Linked DNA regions of Drosophila melanogaster. The gene in region 1 interacts genetically with each later gene. Each region holds a gene or a part of one and is shown on either strand. Other genes may lie near its edges.

Region 1 (3,753 bases):
CATTAGTTATGAATTGTAAATTATTTAAGTTCTTTTTAACTCGAAAACAAAAAGATAACATTATGTATCTCCATTAAGATAGCACAAGCAGCTATGGGAGAGCAAAGCCTAAATGTTATCAGACTGCATTTTTCAAATGCTTTTCTAAGCGTAGGGTTGAAATTTTCTTGATCAAATACCACTAGCGTAGGTCTCACTTATATCACTCATAAGCCGGCTTACTTTTGCAAATCAAAACGAATGTTTAAATTATCGAGCCCAATAAACAAAAAATTTCAGTGAAGTTGAATTTATTTATATTTTCTGAAACTTCGCAATAAAAAAGCCCACAGTGTCCGCATTTGCTCCGCTTGGACCGAAGCGCTGCAACAGACGAGATTTACATGCCTCGAAACCGGGAAGCGGAAGTCCGGGACCGCCCCACCGGGGAGTGGCATCTGTTAGCCGCAGCTCGACAAATTTTCTTAGTGCCCAGGCCACAAGACATTCGCACTCATCCTCGGTGACGGTGCACGTGCTATATACAAGGATGCCGCCAGGACGAACGAGCTGCACTGCCTGTTCAAATAGCCGGCGCTGAATATGGGGATATGAGGACAAGACCTTAACCTGTTTAATGCTGCAGGACAACTGTGGCCGGTTGCCCAGCCCACTGCAGGGTGCATCGAGCAAGATTCGGTCAAAGCTTTCACATGGAAACGGAGGCCCAGTGAATTCTCCCACGGGTGCAGATGGAGCGTCCGCTGCCACTGCCTCGGTGGAGTTAAAAACATGCGCCGTTATGCTTTTGTAGTGTCCCAATTTGGGCAGCATGCTGCGGACGCGACTGGCCGAATTGTCTAGGGCCACCACAGATCCCCGATCGCCCATCAACTCGGCTATGTGGCTTGTTTTGTTACCCGGAGCGGCACACATGTCCAGTATGCGCTCGCCGGGCTGCGGATCCAGGACACGGACGCAAACAATAGAAGGCAGGTTTTGCAACAGGCCGTCTTCGCTGCTTAGATCCCCCAGCGTGGGCACTCCGCTGACGTTGGACTGCATTTCCACGGCCACTCCAGAGGCGGGCTTCTCCGCGTTGTTGAACAGCTGATACCGCTGCATTAACACCTTGCCTGTACCCAGGAAAACCTTATTTGGGCTTTCGTACCGCTTGACCGTCCCGCGCTTGCATTTTCCATCCAGATCTGCGTAGACATTGACGAGTTCCTCCCGCTCAGTGTTTGACTCCATAGCTAAAACACCGGGGGCGTATATGTGGGCGCCTCGCAGTAGTGCAGCTCCGCAGTTAGTGTCAACCACTACCTCCTTGAGCTCGGAGTCGGCCACAGCTTTGGTGAGCTGTGAGTCCAGCGGATCAATGCACAACATCTCGGGTAGGTTTGGCAAGCAGTAAATCCTTGGAGATTTTACACCGTAGCGAATGGCGAGTTTTTCTTCTAACTTTTTCCGAAAGTCGTCAACGGAACACCTAAGAGTGTTCACCCTGTAAGTGGTGACTTTGGGAGTAAGGCACAGCCATTCCAACAGCGGAGCAAGTGCAGCAGACTTGACAAAACCAGGAATTAACAGTTAATAAAATTTGCAAGCCAGTTTTTGTTGTAAATACGTATTTGTGCACATTGAAAGTACATACATTCACTTTAAGGATATCGGCTTCCAGCAACGGGTTCACCAAAAATGGTGTTTTTGGGTAAAACATATTAACATTTAACTTAGTTCAAATCACCTGGATAGTGAACTTTATCGAGTGAGCATTGTGCGACAATGATGAATCGATTAATCCAAATCGTTGGCAACTCTAGCCGAGGTGGCGGAGAAGAGACGTGGCAGCATTTCCCGAGTTTTCACCACGGGACTACACAACATCGGCATCCCGCTCTAGCTCATGCGCTGCGCCCATCTCTATCGGCAACGTTTATGTTGGTGAGTTTGCAGTTTTTTCAACAGCAAGTGTATTCTCGGTCAAGTTTTATTTTGCTCTGTGATTTTAGACATTTCCAAGCAGAAGTTTTTAAAATTTCCGCTCCTAGCCGTGTGCATTTGATTCAATTAGTTGGTGCGTATGCGTTTTCAGTCGAAAAAGGGGGTGGTATGTCAAGGCAGAGATACTTTTCTTGATTTTAAGAAGTTCCGCAGTAATGTAGATGTTCGTGTGAGTGTTTAGTGTGGGCTATCCACGAACACTCGCGCAACGTACGCGGCTGTGGTGAATAGTGGAAGTATTAGTATTGGAAGCCGCACGAATTAATCGTCGGTGCTTTGTTTATAGCATTATCGTAACAGGAGACAAGGACAAGCTCTCCTTTAATTACAAAAGTGATAGCTAAATTATATAATTGGGAACATTTTACAATCTCTGTTCGGCAGACAATAGTGACTTGTGCTCATCGACTATCGGTAGCGGATGCTATCGATACATTTCTCTCCATTATCTTTCTATTCGCAATTCGGTGTGTGGTGTGTTTGGCAGCATAGAAAATTCAATCAAAGAAAAGTCCACGAAAAAAGGCAGAATAATCGGTAAATGGACGTGTAAAGTGTCACTGAGCTAAAAGGATCTCAGTTAAAAGAAGTCCAAGTAACTTCGGACCGGTCTCTGTATTCTTGTAAAAACAAGGGACGGCGGCAGCCGCATTTCACCAACCCATAAGAAAAACAGCGTACGTCACTCACACAGACGCAGGCAACCACGTATAAAGTTCAAAGTTGTCTGATCCCGATCCGAAAGTGGGCTTAGTTGCGAAATGTCTGAACATGGGGCGTGGGCTGGCGAAGCGTTCATCTTCGAGCAGTGACGCCCTCCGCCTGGAGCTTCTATTTAAACGCATTAAAGGCAGCAAAGGCAGGGCGGCTCAACGCAGTTGGCAACCCTGGCGCCTGCGGGTGTATGCGTGAGTGTGCGGTGGTGGGCTGCCTCGCTTCCCTCAGCGCTAAATTAAAAGCTGCTACGTGTAGTTTTCGATTTCGGCTGCTTCCAAGCCAACTATCGTCAGCTGGCATCAGCATCTTCTCAGTAACGTGGAGCACCTATCTTTGCGCACTACCGGTCCGGAGAAGAAGTCTCTGGGGTGTTAGTTCCCTGTAACAAACTTAGGTTTTTGGATATCCGATTGCTGTCAAACGAAAGGTTTCCGTATGTTTCGCTGGCAACCTTTTTTCTTTTTGTGTTCGTGCGAAACGGGCTTGCTCATTGCGTTCCTCCATTTTAACATGAATTGCTTAGCCATCGGTTGCAGCCTGCTCGGTTGCAGGGCTCAAAAGGCGGCAGCGGTGACTCACTGTAGAGTTTGGGAGCTTCCCCTCCGCCCAGCAAGTTCGCCGAAAACTGCAAGTTACCTGGCCTTATCATTCACGCACTTCTCAGCCCGCACGTTTCTTGCGTACTCTGTGTAAAGTGGGTGGAGGACGTTGGAAGGGAGGCGCTGAGCGCCGACAGCCGTCATGGTTCTATACTAAAAATCGATATCTTATCAGCAGCCGCTAGCGGGGCAAACACTAAAAGCAAGCGACTCGTGTTTCATACATCCTCCATTTCGCGTTGTATTTAAGTGTGGAATTAATTACATAAACAAATTTTCTGTTTTTCTCATGCTGACGCATTGAAGACGTCCTTATTACAATAAACAAAAACGAATTTCGTTTCTTTTTCCGGTTTTTCCGCTCTTCCGGTTTTTGTATGACTCAGAGTGGGTAAGCGCCATTCAACACGTAAGCGCGATCATAAGTGAAACAAACACCAGAGGAGCTTCG
Region 2 (3,753 bases), on another chromosome or scaffold:
CTGCTTGAGTTCGCCTCAAGAATGTTTAGGAAGATTTCCTTGAAGAACACCTCTATCTGCCGCTTAAGATGCACCTTGAAGTTCGAGAGTAGGGCAACGAAGATTGAAAGCGACAGCTCGAAGACCTCCGGCACCAGACTGACTCCGTTGTTTGACAAGGCCACGCACAGGTACTGCTTAATGGCCATGATGAACATCTCGTTGGAGCGGAAGACGGGCCCGGCATTCTGGAGGATGAGCAGCAGCAGATGCAATGACAGCACCTTGGAACGCAGCTCGTGCGATTTCGGATCTGGATGTCCATCCGGCAAAGGCTTCATCGATAGCTTGCACAGTGCCCGGAACACGAGAAAAGCATCTTTCTGCAGGATGTGCGTAAACTTAGCCGTTACAACCGCATCGTTTTCGCTGTGCAGCTCCACACTGTCGTGATCCGAGTGCGAGGAGTAGTCGTTTCCATTAAGTGTTGGCTCTGGCTCACCGACCGATTCCTGATCCTTCATCGCCTCATTGTAGGCAGCTGAAAAACGTAACTGTCATTATTTTCGCGCAATGATAATTAGACGGTTTGGAGGAGTGGAATTTTATGTTGGACCTTATCGTATCGTACTGTAAATGATTCATACAATTTTTTCCCATCCGATAAGAAATATTTTATGAACTTAATTACGTTTCTTGAAAATATTGAAAAATAGTTAAATCTAAGCGAGTTAAGTAGAATAATAAGCAACTTCAGCTTAACAAGAAACATCTGTTTATCAAACTTTCTCCACCGAGTGCCACGCACCTGATATGATCTCCGCCAGCAGTTCCGAGGCAATTACTTCGTCGGAATCCCGCAGCGACTCCTCTCCCGAGCCATTGCAATCCTCCGAGTGGATGCTGCCGTTGGTGGGATTGGAATTGGGAGGTGGTAGCTCGTACACTTGATTCTCCATGCGGGCAAATATCACGTTCAACATTTGGGTGAGCGTAGCGCGTGCTGTGGTCTGATTGACCAGGTTCTTGCTGGACAAATAGATGTCGTAGCAGGTGCGCACAGCTTGCAGCAGTGTGAATTCATGGATTTCCACATGCTGCGAGGTGACCACCGTGAGCAGAGCCTTTATTATCTGCAGTTGGACGGCCTCGTCCGTCTGGGGACCACTGAAGCAGCCATATATGGTCACAACGATACGGTCGATGAGCAGGTGACCCGGATTGGCCGAGTCCTGAATGGATCCTGTCAAATGGCCATAGGCAATGAGTTTCTGCAGGCAGTCCAGTGCGGTGACCACGATCCTGGGCGAGCGGCTCTTGCAGGCAAGCTCGAAGGGGAGAAAGTAGGTCTCCGCATTTATGATGCTCGCTGCATCATTCTTGGGCAGCGGGAGTGCGGCACAGGGCAGCTCATTGCCCTCTGCGATCTGGCCGGCACTGATTAGCTCCGCCTTAATCTGCTCCAGCGCCGAATCGCAGGACTTCTTCAGCTGCGAGTGATGGGAGCGCCGTATGTCCTTATCGGCAAGGATCTTTTCTAGAGCACGCACGATGAACATTTCCTTGGTTTTTGTGGAGTTGTTGTGCATATTGGGCCGCTGCCACTCCCAAGGTCGCCTTCGCTGGGTGGGTTTCGATGCCTCTTTCCCTACTACCACTGCTTCGGATTTCCCTCTGCCCACCGCTTCCGGAAACAACAGCCACGCAACTTTCGCCTGCTGCCTTCTGGGTGCTCCGCCAGCTGTGCGGAGTGCTCCTCTCGGTTGGATTGTCGTGTGGCGGCACTCGGTGAGTTTTTAGCGTGTCGTGGATGTTTGCATGTTGCAAATCTCTCAGTTTTTCCACATTTACATTCCCTTCAAAATACGAAAAAACGTCATCAGAAGTGTGACCGTGTAAGCGAAAATTACTGAGCTGTCGGCAGTGTTGGGAAGTTTTTGGTATTCTCTCGGTTTTGGTATTTTTGCTAATTTGCTGGTGTTATTGTTATTTGAATTTGTAACGGCGATTTGTGATAACAAAAGAAAAAAGTAAACAATAAAGTTATATTTAAAATAAATTATTTGTGTAAATATGTGTAGTAAATAGTACTTACAAATCTTTAATGAATATGTGTTCGTTATTCGTTCCCTACCTCTAATTTTCTAATACAAAAATAGTTCCTTAACGCTTGAGAAGCTAAAAAGTTAAAAAATGTATTTTATAGTTCGCATTATTGTAAATGTAAATTAATAAATTAGTTAATAAAAGGGGTACAAAAACACAGTGCTCAACTTAGGTTTGGATTGATTATGGACTACGCTATAACTGCCACTCCTTCGTTGGAATTTCCGCCATGAAGAGTATGTTTTCCATGTTGTTTTCGATTAGTCTGGCGTACTGCGCCGCAACCGCCGCTCCTTCGGCCGTAAATAGCCGATCCGCCGGCTCTGCGGTGGCCGGAACGTGCAGGTACCTCTGTGCTACGTTGTGCAGGAAGGGGTGAGCTTCGGCCAGTTCCTCCCAGAGCTGAAAGGGATCGGCTCGCAGGGTACTCATGCCGGCGCAAAAGTATCTGGCTATCTCATCGTCCGCCTCGGGACCGTTGCTGCCGTTTACAATCCTTTGCTTCCCATGCGAAAAGGATTTGAATGCCGCCCAGATATCGTAGTGATCACGGTTCTCCGGATGCTTTGCAACAGCTTGCTCCCCGCTGTCCACATGCGCCTGCATCATGTCATAGAGTTGAGTCATGTACTGGGCCACCAGGGCCCCACTCCGGAAGGGAATATTTCGAAAGCGTGGGTCCAGCAGACTTGCCAATGCCAGGTGCAAGTTGCGCTCCATTCGTTCGAAGATCTCCTCCAGCTGCTGAACCAGGAACAAGCGTATTTCCCTGGCAACCATGTGTTCCGCACTCTTCTCCTGCTTCAGTTCGTTGATCAGAGTTTGGGCAATGGGCAGGGCTGTGCTGGCCGCCGGATATGGTGTTCGACTTAGCTCACGCATGGAGCTGGTCAACGGCCTCAGCACGTCCAGCAATTGCTGACACAAATCCACCTCCGATGTCGAAAGCGGCAGCGGCTCTTGAACGAGAGTCTGTTTCAGGTATAAGTCTAGCATATTGTACACACTAATCGGTCGGTGTATGGAATCCAGTTGGGGATTCAGCTGCAATGTGGACTGCACATGGGAACGCACCTTGTCGCGCAAATGACGTATTTCTGGGCGCTGCACCACCTCCTCTAAAATAGAATTCAATTGGTCTGCGAAGCAGGGAACATGATGATGAGCGCCCATGAACGATGTCACCGCATCCTCCAGTAGTTGACTGCTCCTTGTCGACACGCAGCAGATCCTTGACTTTGGAATGTCGAAGCGCTGACACACTTGGTCCATGCGATCCACCAGATCGTTGGAGGTGAAAAGATCGGGAAGGCGCAGCACAGAAAGAGTTCGGGAGATTCGTTGCCGCCCCTCGTGAAAGTGGGCCACCAGCTCCATCCAGCTTCGACTCTCCGCATTCGTGTGCACCGAGCAACTTAGGCTGAGTGTCGAGATGTCGGCCAACTGCTGGCAGAGCTTGGACCTCTGCGCTTCCGACTCCCTGCAGATAATGGCCTCCAGTTTCGCCGCACTCGGTGGTCTGTAGGTGGGGCACAGTACTTTCACTAGGTGCTGGAATCCCTCGCCCTGCACAATCTGCAATGACTGGCGGTCACGGCAGACAAAGAAGGCAATGTCCTTGTGAAACGGACTCTCGCTCGGCAGAGGTTCTTCCATTTTTAAGTTGCT

What was found.
Region 2: of Arf1 (region 1) and Sec71, changing one suppresses a phenotype caused by changing the other (phenotypic suppression), as found in Drosophila melanogaster (one study listed by BioGRID).

The regions. Positions count from the first base shown.
Region 1 is NT_037436.4:22,870,230-22,873,982, reverse strand, and holds the start of Arf1 (ADP ribosylation factor 1), read left to right. Parts: upstream 1-1,751; 5' UTR 1,752-1,926; exon of another isoform or gene 1,927-2,170; intron 2,171-2,258; exon of another isoform or gene 2,259-2,663; intron 2,664-2,895; exon of another isoform or gene 2,896-3,136; intron 3,137-3,688; exon of another isoform or gene 3,689-3,753. Other genes in the region: CG11109 (uncharacterized protein), read right to left, coding at 295-1,548, 1,637-1,702. UniProt on the Drosophila melanogaster protein: Small GTPase involved in protein trafficking between different compartments. Modulates vesicle budding and uncoating within the Golgi complex. In its GTP-bound form, triggers the recruitment of coatomer proteins to the Golgi membrane.
Region 2 is NT_033779.5:13,791,663-13,795,415, reverse strand, and holds the start of Sec71 (secretory 71), read right to left. Parts: upstream 1,896-3,753; 5' UTR 1,569-1,895; coding exon 788-1,568; intron 521-787; coding exon 1-520. Other genes in the region: CG16863 (uncharacterized protein), read right to left, coding at 2,281-3,751.